3 linked regions of the Callithrix jacchus genome follow. The protein of the gene in region 2 binds, or shares a complex with, the protein of the main gene of each other region. Links are inferred from orthologs where the notes say so. Each region holds a gene or a part of one and is shown on either strand. Other genes may lie near its edges.

Evidence for each region. The genes of interacting proteins can lie anywhere in the genome.
Region 1: the proteins of GDF11 (region 2) and TGFBR1 are in contact, whole or in part, in a crystal structure (PDB 6MAC), measured with the Homo sapiens proteins. The link is inferred for Callithrix jacchus from reciprocal best matches to the Homo sapiens genes GDF11 and TGFBR1. Residues at the interface, in NP_005802.1 of Homo sapiens: Phe322, Ala324, Phe325, Gly326, Trp327, Trp329, Ile330, Met382, Tyr384, Phe385, Asn386, Asp387, Ile392, Ile396, Pro397, Met399; in NP_004603.1 of Homo sapiens: Ile78, Pro79, Asp81, Arg82, Phe84, Ala87, Pro88, Ser89, Ser90, Lys91.
Region 3: the proteins of GDF11 (region 2) and FST are in contact, whole or in part, in a crystal structure (PDB 5JHW), measured with the Homo sapiens proteins. The link is inferred for Callithrix jacchus from reciprocal best matches to the Homo sapiens genes GDF11 and FST. Residues at the interface, in NP_005802.1 of Homo sapiens: Asn299, Leu300, Gly301, Leu302, Glu310, Arg312, Asp328, Trp329, Ile331, Ala332, Lys334, Arg335, Tyr336, Lys337, Tyr347, Met348, Phe349, Met350, Pro354, His357, Gln361, Ile380, Asn381, Leu383, Phe385, Asp387, Lys388, Gln389, Gln390, Ile391; in NP_037541.1 of Homo sapiens: Leu34, Arg35, Gln43, Val44, Leu45, Tyr46, Lys47, Thr48, Arg60, Ser62, Asp72, Asn73, Leu75, Phe76, Met79, Ile80, Leu134, Asp135, Arg149, Gln153, Pro154, Glu155, Val180, Val181, Asp182, Gln183, Tyr188, Val190, Thr191, Asn193.

What each region holds. Positions count from the first base shown.
Region 1 is NC_133502.1:147,221,476-147,228,585, reverse strand, and holds the start of TGFBR1 (TGF-beta receptor type-1), read right to left. Parts: upstream 4,739-7,110; 5' UTR 4,651-4,738; coding exon 4,554-4,650; intron 1-4,553. UniProt on the Homo sapiens protein: Transmembrane serine/threonine kinase forming with the TGF-beta type II serine/threonine kinase receptor, TGFBR2, the non-promiscuous receptor for the TGF-beta cytokines TGFB1, TGFB2 and TGFB3.
Region 2 is NC_133510.1:63,910,409-63,917,478, forward strand, and holds the start of GDF11 (growth/differentiation factor 11), read right to left. Parts: upstream 3,867-7,070; 5' UTR 3,676-3,866; coding exon 3,228-3,675; intron 2,592-3,227; exon of another isoform or gene 2,467-2,591; intron 785-2,466; exon of another isoform or gene 646-784; intron 1-645. UniProt on the Homo sapiens protein: Secreted signal that acts globally to regulate anterior/posterior axial patterning during development. May play critical roles in patterning both mesodermal and neural tissues. It is required for proper vertebral patterning and orofacial development.
Region 3 is NC_133503.1:156,370,004-156,376,987, reverse strand, and holds the start of FST (follistatin), read left to right. Parts: upstream 1-2,246; 5' UTR 2,247-2,409; coding exon 2,410-2,494; intron 2,495-4,378; coding exon 4,379-4,570; intron 4,571-4,983; coding exon 4,984-5,202; intron 5,203-5,560; coding exon 5,561-5,785; intron 5,786-6,444; coding exon 6,445-6,675; intron 6,676-6,984. UniProt on the Homo sapiens protein: Multifunctional regulatory protein whose primary function is to antagonize members of the transforming growth factor beta (TGF-beta) superfamily including activin, myostatin, GDF11 or bone morphogenetic proteins (BMPs).

The DNA of each region.
Region 1 (7,110 bases), on a different chromosome or scaffold from region 2:
TGAGAAGACTCCAAAAATTTCCTCAGCTTAGTTCTACGGGACAAAGCATTACAAAAATCCCTGAGAAACATGCCAGCATCTGCCCTCAGTTCCAGAAGCAGGAAGCAAAGATGTGACCCAATCACATGATATCAAACCACAGTCCATCTCTTCAGAACTCTATTATGTAAGCCATGACCAAGGAAGAAGAGCAAAAGGCAAGAGGTTTGTCAACATTCGCAAGGGGCTCTGTGGTTTGAAGAGACATATTTTCATATCAAAAGGGCCATCCACAGGATAACAGCATTTTCAAAACTCAATTCATTACACATGAACATATTTGATACAATAAAATGATACTATAAGAATGGTGCTGAGTCCTTGTAACTCTTCAACTAAGGCCTAGAACCTTTCCTTGTGGGGAAGACCCCTGTTGAAAGATAAAGAACAAGATTTATCTTCCTCTTGATCATTTTTATCATGTCAATTCCTCACTGAATTCCAATAACAAAGCAGATCATCTATTATTCTAAACCAAGGCCTTTTAATTACACCCAATTCAATTAACAGTACTTATCCAAGACTACCTTCCAAACTACTATAGGCCTATGTTTCTCAGTCAGTATTATACCAGGTCCTTTTATCAGCAATTAAAAAAAAAGAATCCTGACCTTTCCCTTGAGGACTTTTAGCCTTTAATCACTCCCCTTCCCTTCTACCTTTAGAATTCACTTTTCATAAATTGTGTGAAGTGCAAGGCCTATTTCACTTAGGTAAGTCACTCCATTAACCTCGTCCCACGCCCACCTCCATGTCCTTCACATTTTAAAGCAGAATATAGGGCACAAGATTTGGAATCAGAAAATCAAAGTTCCTGTCTCTGTTCTGCCCTTTGTCACCCTAAGAAATTCACCTAATCTGAGTTTTTTCATCTGTAAATTGAAGTGACAATATACTTAGGACTTTCACCAGCTGAATGCCTAGCCCTAGTGGGCATCCTATAATGTTATTCTCTCTCATTTACTCCACTTTGATTACTTTTATGCTTTGTTTCCAGCCATGTACTATAGCCTTTAGGATTGGGGGGAAAAATGATAGAGGTTAATACATCCAAATCCCACAGTAAAGAATAAGGAACCTAACTTTGAAGAGTAACTTGCCAGTCAGTAAAAGCTTTGTTTCCTCCCTTGGAGTGGGGGCCCCAGTACAGTTGGAGACACACTTTTAGAGAACTTTCATACTCATCAAATCCCCCTCTGAATTGTACCCACCCTTCAAAGTCAGCTTAAGTCCTAAACTGTCCAGAAAGCCTCCCCCAATCACTCCAGCCTACACTAATCATCTCCCTTTTTGAATACTAATGCCTCCCTACAGGGATGACATTAAAAATATTTAACAACTGGCACTACAAGGGTACCAACCAACCAGAAAGGATGTTTAACCAAAAAACACATGGCCCAGTGGGAACTGCTTGTTGAATATCAGTCCTGATCATTAGTAACAATACAGAATAGCAACCTCAAACTCAAATACCACTTTCTCATGTGATCTTCACAATCTCATGAATTAGGCAAAAGCAGGTATTGCCCCTATTTTCTGCATAACTGGTGGTGAAGGTGGGACTAATAACCACTTGCCTTCACCACACCACACAATATTTCCTGATTATTTATACAGAATTATAAGTTAATATTGCATAAACTGGACTTAGATAAAACAGTATAAATACTAAAGGAATGCTCAAATAGAAATCAACAAGCATCTATGTGGAATAGAATATAAAACACAGTGCTAAGTTCTGAGGCCATAAAGCAAAGAAATGGCATGAATCTCGTCCTCTAGGTATCTACAACATATTCAAGTGTAGTTAAATTGCAGTGCAGACAGTAGAAATGGACAACACAAACTGTAAGTGTTGCAGAGTTCTGGAAGACAAAGAATTCAAGAACTAAACCAGTACAGGAAGTCAGGACTGAGAACTTCTTACACTCCCAAAAAAGGGGCAAAATTAAATGTGTAGTGAAAAGCTGAACAGTCAGGAGTCAGTGAGAAATAGAAATTGCTTGAAGGTCTGCAGTAATGAGAAGTGAGATTCCTGGTAGGATACTCAGAGATGGCCCCAATCATAAGCTGCTGAAGTGTTTCTCTAAGTGCTGAATACAAATGGGAAATCATATAAACCTTTATGGGGATGGCTGAGGAAGATTAGTTTGGCAGTAGCCCATAGAAAAGCTTAGAAGAGAGAAACATGGGAAAGCAACTAGATTTGGAGGATAACAGGCAGGATTAAGCTGAAGGCTGCATACCAAGAAAGGAGGAGACATTCAAGAGGCATTAATAGAAACAAGAGTTGGATTTAGAGCATGTTTCCAAAGAAAAAATGTTATGAAATGGCAGAAAGGAAGCAAACAGCATTCTCACAAGGGATATTCATATAGACACAGTGGTACTAAACCGTGTACTAGCGACAAGGAATCAATTTTCCTAGAGAAATCTATGTTGGGGAGAGAAGTTGGGCAGAGAACAATAAAACATACTCAGAAAATAAGAAACTGCACTCTTTTTAAAAGGGAAGTAAAATTACAGAGAGAAAAAAAAGCATTTGACCTTTTTCAGAATGTTATTTTAAGGGTGGACTGAGACATCATCATAACCAATAAGAAAGGCAGAGAAGCTGAGGCAGTCTGGGCTTAGAGTAATATGCACCTGGACAGCTTTGTACTGTGTACATGCCACAGAGACTGTAAACTCCCCCAGGACATGGACTGAGCAATGTTCTGTGTATCCAACTAAGTCCACCTACTGTTACTTGAATACATGAACACTTCCTGTGCTACTTCTGGTGGAAAAGAGGGCACTATGTTATTCAAGTTAATAGTGGTGTGGAAATGTTACCTATGTTTCCCCCTAACTATATTGATTCTCCCAATCTGTCCACACAGTTATCTTGCCTTCCTCCCTAGGCCAATGTCAAAAATCCATTGTTTCCTCTAATGCAGGCCCACGTGAAGGGACTCAGGAATGTGCTAAGAGTCAGAATGAAGCCTATCTGACATTCATATCATGAGGACAGAATCTAAAAGTGAATAATAAAGACCAGTTGCTCATCAGATGAAGAAAAATGGGCTATGCCAGGTAGTATGATGTATACATGTTTGCGTGTGTATATACATATTTATATATATATGTGTGTACAGGTTTTGGAAACTGAGATCTGAGTGAAAATTCTAGCTTTAGCACTTAGTGACTGCATACTTAAGCAGACCCAGGGGTCTGCACCCCACTTTTCAAATCTTTAAAGTGGGGCAAATGCCACAAGTCCTGAGAGTTTGGTTGTGGTGATTAAATAATGTACGTATCCAATAGTGTACTTTATGCATTTACATCATAGTAATGCATAATACATAGACGGAGGCTATTAGGACTAATTATAATCATCATCTTCAGTCTTGATTTTTAAAAGAATTTTCAACATTTTTGTACAGTTTCAGAAACAGAAATGTAATTTCACTGCATTTTAGTTGCTAAGACTGAGGCTCTGATTTTAGTTTCTACTGTCTTAATTCAGCTGCTAACAAAGTTTTCCACTCATCACTTTGTGGATGCCAACCACCTACCCCGACCTGATTTAATACTTGGAAAAACTCAGCGAACATTCTTCCTTGAAAACCAGCTACCAGATGTATCATTCAAACTATTAACTGTCACTCAAGAAAAGGAACATCGCAAGTGATGTTCCTTCTAGGAAATAAAAGCGTTGAATCAATTCACAGTCATTCCCCAAATTTCCAAACCCTGTAGAGTGAGCAAACGTTCAAGTTTCCACTACGAAAACAATCCGTAGCCTTCTGGTTACTGGACTCACTTCAACACTCCTCAGGCGCACGAAAGAAGGAATACTCCGCGCATCTCCACGCTTCCTTCTTCTCACACAAAGCCCCCTTGGCTGAAGGAGCAGACCCTTCCAGCAGGGTCGGGCCGGGCGGGAGTCAGGGCAGCTTGCAGACCCGGGGGTCTCACCACATGTCGACCCCCGACTCCCACCCCGGGAAGCCCTCGCGGCTCGGAGCTCACACCCCGCCCGGGAGCCGCCTTCCCCCCAACCCCAAAACCCGCCCGGGACCCCAAGACCACGCCGTTCCCTGGGGGGCGGCGGCGGTCGGCAGCCACCGCTCTGCCAGTCCCCGCCCGTCTCGCATCCTCCGCCCCTGGCCCTAACCCACGCACACCCCACAGGGCAGCCCCGGCCCTCGGACGACTCCGTCCGACTCCACCTCCCCGGGGGAGTCCCGAGCCGGACGGCCTCAGGCTGCCCGGCACGTTCACCCGTGCCCGGACACACGCCCCTGCCCCGCCTCCGCTCCCCGCTTGCGGTTCGCCCGGCTGCCACCGAGCCGCTCGGGGCCACGAGAGCCCGGTTGGGGCCACGAGAGCCCGGTCCGGGCCCCGGCGCTGCCACCTGCGCCCCCGGCCCCGCGCCATGTTTGAGAAAGAGCAGTAGCGAGCCGGAGGCCGGGCCCGGCCCGCGCGCCCCGCAGTCGCCCGCCCGCCCGCCGCGCCGCGCTGCCGCTCACCCGTCGCCCCCGGGAGCAGCAGCGCCGCCGCCGCCGCTGCCGCCGCCAGCACAAGGAGGAGCAGTCGGGGACGCGGAGCAGCGGCCGCCGCCTCCATGGTCCCGCCGCCACCGCCTGTGGCCCGGCCCGGCCCGGCCGCCGCCTCACCCCAGCAAACCTCGCCTCGCCCCACCTCCCCCGCCGCCGCGGCGGCCCCGCTTCGGCCCTTTGTAACTGCTCGGGGGACGTGCGTCCATTGGCTGCCGGGCTCCCGCCGGCCCCGCCTCCCCGCCGCCGCGAGCGGCCGAGCGGGACCCAGCCACGAGCCCCGCCCGCGGGCCCACCGGGCAGCCAATCCGGAGCCGCGCGCCCCGGCCTCTGGCCACGCCCCACGCTCCCCGGGGGACGGGCCGCCAGACCCCTGCCCCGGCCAGAGCTGCTCCCGGCTCCGCGAGGCGGTGTGGGGGCGGGATCGGCCAGACCCAGCGCCGCCGAGCCGCTAGCCCCGGAGGGCCGGGTAGAGCGAAGGGTGTGTCTGTGTGAGTCGCTTTCGGGAAAAGGCTGTGGCCGCTCGACTCTCTTTTCTTCTAACCTCCTCTAGGCGCGGAAGATCTCGTACTGCTTCAGCCCCACGCTGACCCCATTCACTGCTCCGCACCGGCAATCCCTGCATAGGCCACTCAGATCCGCTGCAGCGCCAGGCCCTGCATGCACTTCAACTTCCCCTCTCCAAGTCCACGCATCAACTTCAGCATTCCCCCGAAGATCTTTCCTCCGCGCCCTTCACATGCGACTCAGTCTCCTGTTTCCTCATGCTTGGAGCGGTCATCCCGAACCTAGCTCCCCCACCCAATTCCAAACCTAGGAAGTCCTCAGATCCCAGCCTCAGACCCAGATCCTGACCCCAAACACACCCCCAAATAGCCTCCCGCCTCACTCCGGAACAGGCACAGGATGGGGATCCAAGCCGCTCTCGCCTCATCCCCCTTCCTGATCCAGGTTGGAAAGGGAGGGTCCCCACCCCAACCCCTCAAAGGAGGGGTTCCCCCTTCTTAGAACCCAGCTCCCGCGGGGTGGAGGGGGAGCAGTCATTACTTTGAGCTGTGTCTGACACTCCTGTATAATAATCCTGAGGTGTCACTAAAAACCCAAATAAACTACGTTTTCATTCCGAATTCCTAATTTACTGCGAGACGCTCCACCCACCTTTCCTCCGCGACGCCAAAATGAGCTCCAGATTTGTAATTCTTCCTGTCAGACTAGTCCTTTCTTCAGACACAAACACAGCCAAGGAGGCTGTTACGTAGAACAGAGAATATTTTCCCTCAGAACCTTTTAAGGAGAAAGTTTTATTTCCTGTGTCATTTGAGCTTGGAATTAAATAAACCTTGATAGCAGGAATCAGAACCAGCCTCTAATGTCAACTTGTGCACTACTTCAGAGTCACTGGGTGAGCATTTTCCCCACCTGTGAAGGTTTCCTTCCTGGAGATGAAAAGGGAAAGGACGTGGATATTGGAGCTGGGATCTGAGACCTGCGTGCTTTCTCCCTCCTGGCTGGGACACTACTTCGGCAAAGTCAGCTAACCTTTCAGAGTCTCCAGCAGGCTCAGAGGCCTGCAACTTGCTCTAGACTGCAGCGCCAGCAGCCTCAGCAGCGAACTCCCCTCTTGTTCAGACTGAAGGATTCCAGAAAGACGGTTTCTGGCAGGCTCCAGTCCCAATTTGCCCTCTCGGTTCCAGTTTCTTCAATGGAGACTTGGTGGGCTTTGTGCCAAGAGGTCTCTAGATTGCCTTTTTGCTGCTCTATTTGCAATGTCTTGCATAAGATAAGAGCTAATGAGATTTTGATTGTGTGAATGAATGAATGATCTCAAAGTGACTGTTTTTCTTTGGCCTTTAGCTTCCTCATCTCTAAAATGTAAATAATAATAGTACCTACCCCGTTTATAAATGAAAGGGATTGAATCACTTGTCTTGGGCTCCTTAGATGATGTAATGTGTCTGGTACAGTGTCTGGAACATAGTAAATATTTAGTTAATGCCATTTCTTTGCCCATCCCCTTCCAGCTCCGTATGATTCTAATCAGCATGTGTGTTCATGTTAGTCTGTGCCCTTGACGTACAGAGCCTAGATTAATCAGTGTTAATCACACCTCCAGTTCCTTAACATTTTCCATGGAATTGAGTAGATTCAACAGAAAGGAAAAACAGACCGGTTTTTAAATTTTAACATCCTGATACTAGGAGGAAATTTCCATGAACAACAGATCCATAAATAAACTACACTAGAATGGAACACTAAATTAATAGTTTAAAATCATGGTTCCCAAATTGTAAAGTGTCTCCAAATTACCTGGAGAGCTTTTAATAATGCAGATTCTTGGGTCTCACTGGGTCTTAGCAATTCTGCTTCAGTTCTTCTGGAGAAGGTTCAGGAATCTGCATTTGTAATAGACATCATAGTTAATTCTGTTGCAGGTGGCACTAGGCCAGCTTCAAAAGACTGGTATACTTAAAATTCAGTAAATAAAAATGCATGACCTTATTTGCCTTTTGAGAAAGGTTGGATGGGCAGT
Region 2 (7,070 bases):
GAAGTGGGTTTAATCACTGCCTAATTCCTTATTAACCACTATCTAACCTTACCAAACTTCGCAGTGTGATACAGATAGTAATAATTCTTGCCTCACATGAGTGCTGAGCATTAACTAGAGAATGTGAAAACAAAATGAACAAACCAACATTTATTGAGAAGCTACTACTATTTTCGCATTCTCTACTGAGCTCTAAACATAACCCTCCCCCTACGTAAGCTGACCCAGGGTTTGAAGATGAGGGCTACATCTAAGTCTTTGATTCTATATACTTGTCCCCCAGTAGACATGGGGACAGTCAGTGCTACAAGGGGGCAGGACATAGGGAGAAAGAAAAAAGCAAGGAGAAGAGCCAAGGGGGGGAGACTGGAGATGGTGAGGGAGATAATAGAGAAGAGACTGTTAGAGTTGAAGGCAGATTGGTAGAGATAGGCAGAGAAATAGATGACAGAGTGGAAAGACCCAGGGGATGATCACGGCAAGGGGAGAATAAGTTTGGGAGTTGTAGAATCCTGGTGCAAGGGGCAGGGATAGAAAGGAGTGGGTGCCGTGTAGAAAGCTAAAGGTGGGAGGAAGCTAAACCTAGTGGGGTAAAGGAGAGAAAGGATAGAAAGGGTACGGACGGAGGAACAAAGGAGAAGCAGGTAGAGCCACAGAGGGAAACCGGGCTTTAGTGAGTCCCCAACACACATATGCCGAGCTCTGATGGGGAGGAAAAGGGGCCACATCTGTGTTGAATTGATCTGGCTGGTGGCAGGCAGCAGGTCAGGTTTAGTAGGCGGCGCTGGTGGGAGAGAGAGGTCATTGCACTATTTTCAGCAAATGCCCAACCCCCTCCCTGCACACCACCTCCTCCCCTTCCCCCCACCCTAACCCCCCAACACACACACTCCCAACCCTGGCTGGAAGGCCTAAGGGCAGGAGGTTGGGCTGAGAGGGCAGGGGCCTCTTGGTGTGGGGATGAGAGAGAAACTCAGGGGCTGGGCTTGGTTCCCAGAAGGGCAGGGGGCTGGGTTCCCAGGATGAAGCCTCGGTGGGAGAGCCTGAGAGGGTAGAGGGAACTAGGGCAGGCAGAGCAGCCTAGGAGAGGTGGGGGCTGGGGTCCAGGGTTGAGGGCTGGGGGAGGGGACGGAGGGGGAAGGGAATGGAGGCCATCTCTGCTGACAAACACCTCCCCCGATTAGCAGAGCACAAGTCTCTTATTAAAGCGGGTCCCTGGGGATTAGACTATAAAAGTCTCTTTTTCCTTTTCCCCTCTCTCCCTCCCCTCCCCTCCACTCCCCCTCCCTCTCTTAAGAGTGCAGCTAGGCTCTTAAAGGGGACGCACAATACCTGGCCGGAGACACAGTTCCCTAATTGTACCAGTCCTGGGTGGCGGCAGTGGAAGTTAGGATGGGATTCCACCAGCTGGTGTCCCCTCCCCACCTACCCAGGCCTCACCTGCACAGCCCAACTCCTGTAGGCAGGGTCCCTTCACTTCCCTGTATTGCTATTACCAGAGCTAACTCTGGTGGGCTCAGGCCTGTTGGTTAAGGGATGCTAAGGATATTTAGGGGCAAAGGGAAATCCACAGCCCCATCACCCATCCTGGAAATCTTCACACACACTACACCATATAGACTAGAGTATCTTTTCCCTATGTAACCTTCTTCTTCCAGTAAACTCTTGATCTGAATTCCTCTATAACTCTGTTTCCTAGAAACACCACTCCCTCCCTCTGCCCTCAGTCGATCTGAGACTGACCCTAGCTTCCATAAGCAGAAGCCTTAAGAATAGAAGGGAAACTGAGGAATCCAAGACCAGATGCCCCATGCCTCCCACCCCCACACCCAGTTAGTTTCCTGGTTCTTTGAATTTAACAGCCTTGACCAAGTCCTGTGGAATTGAGGTCTGCAGAAATACCAGTGGCAATGTGAGGCACTCAGCCTCCCAGATGCACACCTGGGTTCCTGTGCCTCTTCCATGGGGGTTGGCCACTGGGACGCCCCTCAGCCCCCAGCTTTTTATGACCCATCTGCCAATAAACCAGTCTCCCCCGTCTTCTGTTCACAGTCATAAAACCAAACTGTGTGTGTGTTGCAGGGGGCTGTGGGGGGTGTGTGTGTGGGGAGGGACCTTGCCAAACCGCTAGGGAATAAGAGAGGCCTGGTTCCCTGGAGTTGGGCGGAGGGGGAGACCTCAGTGGGGTGGGGGAGAAGAAGGAGTCACCTGACCCTAGGGAGAGCTGGAAAGGTGGCGGGGTGTAGTATTCCCTTGGATTTTCCAGGCCATAAAATTTCAAAGCAGCTCATGTCTATTATATGTTCATCTTCCTTTTGGTCAGGGACTCCGATGCCTGGGTTCCCGCTCCCCCATCTATTTCTTTATCTTTTTTTCCTAGGTCTTCCTATCTCTCAAGTCCAGCTGTGGTAGTACTAGATAGGACTTGAGAGATAGGAAGACCTAGGACTACCTATCTAGTCTTACCTATAGATAGGTAGTCCTAGGTCTTCCTATCGCTCAAGTCCAGAACGAGTGGGCGAATAAGGGATGGAACACTAAGGTTTGAGTAGCCAATGAGTGTCCTTAGCCCCCAGCGCAATGGAGTTGAGTTCTCTGAGCTCGGTCGGTATCAATAAGGCACAGTTTTTCCGGCTCCTTGCGATACCCGGTATGAGACAAGGCTCAGGATGAAAAGCGTGCCAGCTGGGCTGCCAGGAGGTGTAAAGGTTATGGGACCCTATTCCTGGGAAAGGAAGAGAGCAGAGCACACAGTTCTCTGCACCCGATGGACACGATGCCGACAGAGCACGGAGTGAGGAGTCAGCGCCAGGGCCATTGGGAGGCAGAGAGCATAGCTGGGGTTGCCGGGTTCCCGAAGCCTCCGGATTCTGTTCTCCAGCCTCCCCATCACGGCTCTTCAGGACAGACTAGCTGCCCAGCCCCAGCGTCCCCGGACTCCAACAAGGGTCTTTTTCGCATACTGGGGTGGAAGGCAGTATCTCGAAACCCGCCCCATTTACCCCCCCGCTCCAACCTTCGGGAACTGGGCGTGCATACAACTTTGCAGCCCATCTCCACTGCTCGAAAAACTTCTATGGAGTAGCCCCTGCTCCCTAATTCGTCAAGTTTTAGCAGAAAAAGCTTCCGGGCAGGGGCAGCAGGGAGTGCCCCGCTTAGAAGCAGAAGGCGCCCTTCGTGGGGGCCAGAGCCAGCACCCCACTGCTCGCGCCCCGCAGCCCACTTACTTTCCTGGGCCATGCTAATGATGGTCTCGGTAGTGGCGTGGTACTCGTCCTCCTCCAGGAAGTCCTCGGGCTGCAGCGCGTCGCCCTGGAAGTCGTGTAGGTCCAGGATCTGCTGCAGCGGCGGCGCCTTGGGCAGCAGCTGCTTCACCACCTCGCGGCTGATGTTGGGCGCCTCCTTGAGCCGCAGTTTGCTCAAGATCTGCGACTTGATGCTCTCCAGGCGCAGCTCGCGGCTGTGCTGCCGCCACACGCACACGGGGCAGCCGTCCGGCTCGGGCGCTACGGACGCGGCTGGCCGGCTGGAGCGCTCCCCCACGACCCCTGCCGCCGCCGCCGCCGCCGCCGCCGCCGCCGCCGCCGCCGCGGGGCCCTCGGCCGCCTCCCCCCGGGGCCGCAGCTCCAGGGCGAGGAGCAGGAAGCCCAGCAGCAGCGGGGCCGCGAGCACCATGCTGGAGGGGAGGGGAGGACTGGGGGGCGGGGACGCCGGAGTCCCGCGGGGAGGGGGCGGGGGGAGGAGGGAGGGAAGAGGAGGGGGTCCGGGCGGCGCGGGATTGGGGGCTGCCCGGCCGAGGGGGGACCCGGGGGGCCGGGGGCGGCGGGCGCGCGGGCGGGGCGGGCGGGCGGCCGGGGCGGGCGGCTGGGGGGGCCCGAGTCCGGGCCAGGCCCTTTATAGCCCCGGCCCCCGTGTCGTCAGCGGCCGCGATTGGCTGCGGAGCCAACAAAAGAGGCAGCGCTGTCATTCGAGGCGAGAGAGGGAGCCGGAGAGAGCGGAGGAATAGAGAGAGAGAGAGAGAGAGAGAGCGAGCGAGCGCGCGCCAAAGAGAGATGAAGAGACAGAGATATGAGGGGTGGGGTGGGGGGCGGATATAGAGGGAAAGTCAGAGCCAGAGAGACCAAGGAGAATCAGAGAGATAAAGGGGAAAGAGACAGACAGATAGGAAGAGGAGGAGAGAGAGGGAGAGACAAAGGAGGAAAAGAAGAGTTATGGAAAAGACGCAGAGAGACCTAGCTAGGGAGGGAAACAGTGTGTCTGTGGGAGACACAGAACCAAGGAGGAGAAAGACTGGGACAGCTAGTGGGAGAGTTAGAGTGGAGATAAAAATGGTTAGCAGAGGAGTACCACTAGACAGGGGGAGACAGGGGTCTACGGAGCCAGATCACAAAGATTAAGGGTCAGGAGATGGGAACAAGAGCAGAGGAACTGACAGGACAGAACAGTGCCCTGGGAAAGACGGGGAAGGGGGCAGTGGAGAGAAATCAGGACAGGAGAGGAGAGGGGGCATAGACAGGGAGATACCAAGGGAGGCCCTGAGGAGGCAGGTGCAGGGGACTGGTAGGGGGTTAGGGGGAGGAAAGGCAGAAACTCCTCAGAGAAGGAGGCACCAGAGTCAGCCTTGGTGGGAGCACAGAGAGCCCAGGGGACAGAGGTGGAGAACTTGAGCCTAGAGGAGCTCTAGCTACCAGAGGTAGCTCAAAGATGCTCAAAGAAGCCATGGAAGGAAGCATCAGGCTAGGCTCATCAGGGGGATTAAGGGGACTAAGAGAGGAAGAGGCCAGGGACGACCTAAGAAGGTGGAGAGGTGGTGTGAAGAACTGAAACGGGAAGACATAGAGCTGGGAAGACTGTGAGCTTGAAATTGGAGCTTAACAGGACTAAGGGAATCAGCCGGGTGGAAAAGGCAGGAGCTGGAGGCCACTGGGGAAGGGGTGGGAGGAGCCGGCTAGAGGCTGCTATACTTGAAGAATTATCTGGATCTCTGGATTTCTAGCTATGTTTTTGGATCTGCAGGGTCTTAGAAGTCTGAGAAGGGGCTGGAGGTTGCAAGGGTGAGGATGGGAGAGGAGTCTGCACTCAGAAGCACGAGATGAAATGCAGATGTGGGACCAACACTAGTCTTCAGGTGTGAATCTGGGCACAGCCAGAGGGCAGAGTAGAAGAGTACTAAAATTTAAAAAACTGTCTTGCCGGGCGCGGTGGCTCAAGTCTGTAATCCCAGCACTTTGGGAGGCCGAGGCAGGTGGATCACGAGGTCAAGAGATTGAGACCATCCTGGTCAACAAGGTGAAACCTGTCTCTACTAAAAATATAAAAAATTAGCTGGGAATGGTGGTGCGCGCCTGTAGTCCCAGCTACTCGGGAGGCTGAGGCAGAATTGCTGGAACCCAGGATGCAGAGGTTGCGGTGAGCCGAGATAGCGCCATTGCACTCCAGTCTGGGTAACAACAGCAAAACTCCATCTCAAAAAAAAAATGTCTTGAAGGTGCCTAACTTCTGACTTCAGGTTTTCCAGGCTTATTTCTGGATCTGAAAGCCCTGGAGCAATAGGCAAATTGAAAATGTTTGGGCCCAGTGAGGTGGCTCGGGCCTGTAATCCCAGCCTGTGGCAGGCCAAGAAAGGCAGATCACCTGAGGTCAGGAGTTCAAAACCAGCCTGGCCAACATGGTGAAATCCCGTCTCTACTGAAAATACAAAACTGAGCCTAGTGCGGTGGCTCGGCTATCCCAACTGGTGTAGTTCCAGCTTCTCAGGAGGCTGAGGCAGGAAAATTACTTGAACCTGGGAGGCAGAGGTTGCAGTGAGCCAAGATCGTGCCACTGCACTCTAGCCTGGACTGCAGAGCAAGACTCCACCTAAAACAAAAACAAACAAAAAAACAGAGAAAGAAAGAACACTAGATAAACAAACAGAATCAGCCAGAACTCTAGGCCAGATGCCTCCTATCTTAATCTGGATGTTTCAAGGCACTTCAGACATCACAGGTTAAACAGAGAACTCCTTCTTTCTCCCTAAAATGTGTCCCATCCTGCAGCTTTTCATTTTAGTGAATGGCAGTCATCCAGGCTAGAAGCCTGAATGTCATGTTCCACCCTCGTCCCCTTGATCATTTCTGAATCTTTGAACAGGTTGTTTCTTCTTCCTAGAACAACTCCCCTACTACTTCCACTCCTTCCCACCCACCAGTCTCTTGGCCAGATTTACTCTTTCTTCAGGCCTCAGTATGGATGCCATCCAAGAATCCTTTCCTGACTCCAGGTCTAGAGCAGCTGCTTCTCCCAGATACATCTGCACCATTCTATGAGATATGGAGATGAATCGCTTAGCTTCTAGACTAGTAGTAGGCTGGCTGGGCTCAAGTCGCAGCTCTCTCCCTTTTCTGGTTGTGTGAACTTGGACAAGTTATTAAACCTCTTTATACCTCAGATCCCTCACCTGTAAGATGGGGATATATATATATATATCGAGAGAGAGAGAGAGAGAGAGAGAGAGACAGACAGACAGACAGACAGGGTCTTGCTCTGTCACCCAGGCTGGCATGCAGTGGCGAGATCTTGGCTCACTGCAACCTCTGCCTCCCAGGTTCAAGTGATTCTCCTATCCTCAGCCTCCCGAGTAGCTGGGATTACAGGCATGCGCCACCATGTCCGGCTAATTTTTGTATTTTTAGCAGAGACAGGGTTTCACCATGTTGGCCAGGCTGTTCTCGAACTCCTGACCTCAAGTGATCCACCTGCCTTGCCTCCCAAAGTGCTGGGATTACAGGCATGAGCCACTGTGCCTGGCCGAGGATAACACTATTGTATCTATTTCATAAGGTTATGAGGATTAAATGTCTGACAAACTGTTCTAAATGCATTAGTTATTACTATCCCAACTTACAACCCTCACCCTGTGAGACCAGAGAGAGCGAGAACTTTTTCACCAAAGTATTCCTCAGCCGCTTTGAATAAAGAATGAATGAGCCCTGCTAAGTGAAGTTTATCAGAATTAGGTGGGGGGAAGAAAATGGTGTTTCTGTGTATATGAGGGGTTACTGGTATCTGACAAACACAGGGAACTGGAG
Region 3 (6,984 bases), on a different chromosome or scaffold from region 2:
CCATTGAGTGGCGGCTCCTGCAAAGGGGACAGTTTTCTATTAATTGTTAATGTCGTCTGCCATTAGAGGGCACTAAACAACTCTACATTAATGAGTTGGAGGGAAGAGAGAAAAGGAGACGGGAAAAGAAAGAGAAGGGGAAAAGGGAGGGCGAGTCTGGGTAGAGTCCGGGTAGAAGGAGGGAAGGAAAGAAGAGGGAAAGGAGTCGGGGAAAGAGAACAGAGGGAATGGGTGAGAGAAAGGGAGGGAAAGAAAGAAGGGGAGAGAGACATAGAGCGAGACAGAAACAGAGACAACATGATTCTGGAAAGATTAAGAAGCATGTGGAGCCCCCACAGCCGTCTGAAGTGAGCAAAAAGCCAGCCTCCCCCGGGCCGCCCGAGCCCCTCCCCTCCCGTCCTCACGACGGTAATTATAAAGCGAAAAGCGGCGGCGAGGTCACCCGTTTTTACCAGCCTGCTGCACCGAATGCGCGCGGTGCAGGTGCGGCGGCCGCGGGGCTTTGTGATTCATGCCCACTTTCAAAGGGGGGCTTGGGCCCGTCTGAGAGGCACCCAAACAACTGTCTTCTAATATTAGCACGGCTGTATTTCGGGATCTATTATAGTCTGTCCAGACAGATCCCATTGTAATGGGATCTTTTATTAAAAGATTAGCACTATCTCCTGCAGTTGGTGGAAAAAAATCTGTTATCACTGAGTTATTTGCAGTTGTGGAGGGGGGAAGGTTGCTGGAAGATGGGGGGTGGGAGGGCGAGAGGAAGACTGGGGGAGGGTCTGGCAGAGGGAGGGGAGTTGCAGGGGGCGGGAGGGGGAAGAAGGGCCGATTTGAAATCCGTAGGAGAACAAATCCCAGTGACCTGCGAATGTCCAAGAATCTTGTCTGCATACTTCGCTGTCTGTTGTCCTTCGGGCTTCAGAAGCGAAAAGAACAGACATTTAAGAGGCAGCTTTGGAATAAACAATATAGCATTTTCCGTGAAGTAATCGTTTTATATAAAAGGAAATATCGCCTCCTCAGTTTCATTCAGCGGTGCCAAAAAATGTTATAAATGAGAGACCCGCCAACTTTCAGCAAAGAATGCCAGGCACTGTACTTAATAAACTGAGGCTACAGAAGTTCATTATGGATGTTGCAATCTTTTTTATTCCGCGAAAAGAGAGAAGACGAGAGAGAGAGCGACAGAGAGAGAAAGAGAGAGTGAGAGAGAGAGAGAGAGAGAGAGGCTGGAGCCGAGGAGACTGAGAGAGGCACACAGGACAGAAACTGGGGAGTCTCCGGGCAAGGGAGGAAGGGGGGCCAGACCGCCTACGTCGGCGCCCCCGCTCCGGGCTCCGACTCCAGACGCTGCGAAGTGAAAGGGGAGAAAAGAAAGGGAGAGGGCGAGACTGTGCCGGGGGGAGGCCGGGCCTGAGGTGTTAAACATTTTTGTTTGCTTCTGACTCGCCCAGACGAAGGGCCGCGTCTGGGCAGCGCTCCGCCAGGGTGGAAGGTGCCGGGGCCGGGGTTCCTAGCAACAACTCTGAGCTGGGGGTGGCCGCAAAGTCAGGCACGCACAGACCCAGACACAAAACCCCGCCGGCCCCGCGCCCAGGCTGCGGGGGCCGGGAACTGCCCCGAGGCCGGCGCTCTCCGACAAGACCCGGGGCGGGATATTTGGGCAGCCCGGGGCTCTCCGGGCGTTTGCAAAGTCTCTGGAGCGGAGGAGCGCCAGCACGGAGACTAACTCCCGGGTTCCCCCAGCTCCCCCCGCCGTCGCCTCCAACGCCCCCACCGCGCCCTCCCTCTCACACTCGCGCGCGCACACACTCACACACAGACACACACACACACACACACACACACACACCCGCCACCCCGGGCGCGCCGGCGCTGCCGGCGAGCGGCGGCGAGCAGAACTTGAAGTGGGTGTTCTTCCCCACTCCCCACCCCCGATGCGTCGCCCCCACCCCCCGCCCCGGTCGCCTTCCCCCTCCCTCTCGCTCCTACGCAAATAAGAACTCGACGATTCCCCTCCAGTCGTTTTGATTTCGGGCACCTCCGAAAGATAATTGGGAAGGGTTTCCAGAAGGTGGGAAATGTCACCTGATTCACACTGAACTTTTAAAAGCTCCCCACCCCCAAGGAGCCGCGCACACCCTCGCTCGCGGCCGCCCTCCCACTGCCCCACACACTGGGAGACCGCCCACCGCAAACCGCGGAGACCCCCGTCTAGATTTAAAGCGCGGCTGCGCCCGGCTTCTGACGTCCATTGAATCGCGCGGGCGGCGGGCGGCGAGCGCGGGGTTGAGCCGGGATCGCTGCGCCCTCAGCCGCTGGCCTCTGCGACGCGCGCCGCTCACCCGAACCACCCGCCACCGCGCCGGCTCCCGGCACCGCCGCGCTACTCGCCCTGCGCCTGCCCCCAGGATGGTCCGCGCCAGGCACCAGCCCGGTGGGCTTTGCCTCCTGCTGCTGCTGCTTTGCCAGTTCATGGAAGACCGCAGTGCCCAGGGTAAGCGAGGGGGGATGCGCTGGGGAGGCTCGACTGAGGGCAAGGGGGTCGACTTTTCTGTGGTCTCCACTTGGTCTGTTCTGAGCAACGCTGCTCTCGGAAGATGTTGGACCAACTTGGGGACTCCGGGATGGAGAGGAGTGGGAAAATTGAAGGCAATGACACTTTAGGACTGGGAACGGAGTTTGGAGCTCGGTAATCTTGAAAAAGGAAAAGGAGCGAGCTGGGGTCTGAGTAGTTAGGGTTAGATGCTCCAAGTTCTGGCCATGATAACTTTAGATGTGATCTCCTCTGTGGGTCTGACTAAGGGAGCAAGTATCAGTAGTAGCCTGGAGATTTCAGTGGACCCATTTGCAGTTTCTCTCCTTCCCAGATCTTTCGAATACTTTAAGAAAAGCGGGGGAGAACCTGGGGGTTGGGGGAGATATACTGAAATTTTCTTCGGAGGCTGGGGGACGTGGTTTCAGAAACTTTGCCCAAACTTGGAAATGTGGGTGCTGAAATTTTTCAAGGGAAGTAGCTTTCTGCCTAGTGGATGCTTCTTCCAACCCCATCCCCCATCCCCGCAAAGAAAAAAAAGGAGCCAAATTATTACCCCGAAGTGCTTTCAGCACTTTAGTTTTTTTTCCCTCCGCCTCATTCTTCTTTCTGACTCTTAGCCTTCTGTAAAACAGCGAGCAGCCCATAACTGACTTGAATTCTGAAATGGGCTAACAGCAAATTTCTGAAGCTTGCCTTTAAAAAATAGATTTGTTTATTTCAATTAGTCTTTGGGCAGAATGTTTAAAATAATAATAGCAGTTTACAGTCCAATGATTGTTAAAGTCATATTGGTGATTCGTGAGAAGTCTTCCCGGCCCAAATCCGAACATTTAAAATGGGGGAAGAGGGATAAATCACTTGCAAAGATTTCTTGCTAGGTATGAAGTAGGCACGTATAACCGTGAAATGGTAGGAAACCTGCCCCCTTTAAGGCATTACTTTCCCTGCTTCAGCGTTAACATTTTAAGTGTGTTGTATACTGCGCTCCTGGCCACTGCCCCTCCCCGTCTGCATGGCACTGCGCTGGGTTGCCCGCCTTTCGGGGAGAGGCGCTGCCTGGTGCCTGGACGTGGGCGCGGAGGAAAGCAGCGCTCGGAGATTTCGAAAGATCGCGGTGGCCGCAGGCGTGCTCCGGGTCTGGCGGATTGCAAAACGGGCCCGTCGGGCGGGCTGCGCCTCCAGGCCGCGCGGGGTAGCTCCGTGCTGGGCTGGGTTGCTTTTTTTGCTTTCATTTTTCACAAGTGCCTTTTGCTTGATCTGCTCTCTCTCTCTCTCTCTCTCTCTCTCTCTCTCTCTCTCTCTCTCTCTCTCTGCCCCCCCGTCTCGTCTCTCTCTCCCCTCTCTCGTTCTCCCACTTTCTTAACCCCTGTCACAAATAATTCCTGTACCGCCTACATGAAACCAACATGTAAAAACATCCGTCGCATCCTGTTTTTGTCAGGTTCTTTAATCTGCTCTTCGAGTCGCTGCAGGTTATGAAATGGGACGAATAAAAGTAAACAGTCTAGTAAAAGTCAATGCAAGCTGCACGTGTTGTGTCTGGGTCACTGGTAACTGACATTGATATGGCTGGGGCGCTCTGTCTTCTCCCTCTCTCCCTCCCTCCCTCTCGCCCACCTCCCATCTTTGGGATCAGGGCTTCCCCCCACCTTCTTTTCCCACCCCTCCACCCCTTTCGATTTATTTCCTACTTTCCCCCCCGCTTCTCCAGCGTCTCTCTCGCTTCCCCTCCTCCGTGATCACCCTTCCCGTCCGCACCGCCGGGTCTCCTTTACTAACCACCCCCTCCCCCTGCCCCGCCACCGCTCACTCACCCACCTCCCCACCCCTGTCTCTTCACAGCTGGAAACTGCTGGCTCCGTCAAGCCAAGAATGGCCGCTGCCAGGTTCTGTACAAGACCGAACTGAGCAAGGAGGAGTGCTGCAGCACCGGCCGTCTGAGCACCTCGTGGACCGAGGAGGACGTGAATGACAACACACTCTTCAAGTGGATGATTTTCAATGGGGGCGCCCCCAACTGCATCCCCTGTAAAGGTAGGAGTCCCTCCCGACTTGCAGGCCCTCAGTAGAGGGCGTATACCCCTTCAGCTTCCCCGCTACCTGGCTGGGCTTTGGGATTGGAGAGCTTTGTTCATGGGCTTCCCCTTTCTTCCCCTTGCAAATTCGAATTCTGCATGTTAAAAGCTGTAGGCAAAACACCCCAGACTTCTTAGCCAAGTGTGGTGGTGAAGCCCGCCAACCCGTGCTCCTTGACGAGAGAGATCTGGGCTTGGGGCATAGCCCAAGGTCCGCACTCTTTCACCACCTCCCAATCTTCTAGGAGAGAGCCTGGGCCCCTCCAGCGCAAACTCAGGGCTGCAGGATTGCGCAAGGCACCCGAAGCCCTCCTGGCTGACCTGCAGACTGCCTGGCTCTGGTTTTAATCCATTCCTGTTTCCAACTCACAGAAACGTGTGAGAACGTGGACTGTGGACCCGGGAAAAAATGCCGAATGAACAAGAAGAACAAACCGCGCTGCGTCTGCGCCCCGGATTGTTCCAACATCACCTGGAAGGGTCCAGTCTGCGGGCTGGATGGGAAAACCTACCGCAGTGAATGTGCGCTCTTAAAGGCGAGATGTAAAGATCAGCCAGAACTGGAAGTCCAGTACCAAGGCAGATGTAAAAGTAGGTCCTCCCCTGTTGAGCAAGACTGGATCTGTGCCCCTCCTCCAGCTTTGTACCTAAAGTAGACCCTCTAGCAGACCCCTGGGGGATAGTGTAGTCCACAGTAAGAGCCTGATAATAATAAGACTGAAACCAAATAAAGGAGTCCTTTTCTAACTTCTCAAGACTCATTAAGAACGCTGAGGGCGTTAATGTTCTTAACCTAGAGTCATAGATTCTCTATTGAAAACCACAGGGCTCCCAAAATGCCTTTGGAAAGCTGGATGCTTCAGTGTCATGATTTCCTTAGTAACTTCAAGTGCTCATTCCCTAACGACTAGACGGTACCTTTTCATGTGTGTTTCCTTCTTTGTTCCAGAGACCTGTCGGGATGTTTTCTGTCCAGGCAGCTCCACGTGTGTGGTGGACCAGACCAATAATGCCTACTGTGTGACCTGTAATCGGATTTGCCCAGAGCCCACTTCCTCTGAGCAATATATCTGTGGGAATGATGGAGTCACCTACTCCAGTGCCTGCCACCTGAGAAAGGCTACCTGCCTGCTGGGCAGATCTATTGGATTAGCCTATGAGGGAAAGTGTATCAGTAGGTATTCTGGATTGAGGAAAGAAAAAGTGAAAACAGGCTAGTTCTGGTGTTAAACTGTGGGGTTAACTAATAAGTAAAGCCCAAGCCATCCCCAGACACCATAGGGAGAAACACGCTGCAATTTGGGGAAACTGTTGTGACCACAGCATTCCTCATGGAAACCGTTCTTCTGGAGGCATTGACATATATTTAAATGCCAGCAGGAAGCAAAAAACAGTATTTCATCTTAGAAAACTTAGAACTCACTCAATTTTACACATTTTTTTAAGTGCCAGACTTGCTGGAAGCGAAAAATAATTACTTAGCAATTCCTGAAATCTGTTATCAGATTCTAGTAATTGATGGAATTCTTTCTTTTGCAAAATATCCCACTTGTGGGAAATAATAAGATACATATTTAACTCAAGAATATTGTAACATCTTGTTCCAAAAAAAATACTATTTTCATACACTAATGTAGTATGTAAGAAACTGCAGGGGATTTTTGTGTGTGTATGTGTGTGTGTGCATTTGAGTTTCAGTTTTATTATCCAGCATTTTTGCGTAAAAGCTCCATTAGCCCATCTGTAATAACATAGAAATTATGTTTAGGAGAAAGGGAGAAAAGGGGGATATGGGGAAGTCAGTTTACTCATCACAAATGTATTGTATCCTAGAAGCAAAGTCCTGTGAAGATATCCAGTGCACTGGTGGGAAAAAATGTTTATGGGATTTCAAGGTTGGGAGAGGCCGGTGTTCCCTCTGTGATGAGCAGTGCCCTGACAGTAAGTCGGATGAGCCTGTCTGTGCCAGTGACAATGCCACTTATGCCAGTGAGTGTGCTATGAAGGAAGCTGCCTGCTCCTCAGGTGTGCTGCTGGAAGTAAAGCACTCCGGATCTTGCAACTGTAAGTGCGATTTTTAACCTTGCTGCCATTTAAGGCTTTCCCGGGCAACCCCTAGGGAATGGGCACTTAGAAAGCAAGCAGATCTCCCACAAAATCCATTTCTGTTCAAGTTAAATAGCTGCTGAGTATCACCAGCAATTCAGTAATCCACAGAAAAATTATCTGCAACGTTTCTTGGCTTTTAGGACTTATCCAGTGATCATCAATGGGCTGCCTCTAAAAATCCATTTCCAGTTGTTCACCCCTATTTCTTTTGCTTTGGTAGTGTGCTTTGCTGTTTGCTTTACTAACATTTGAATCTAAACTAAC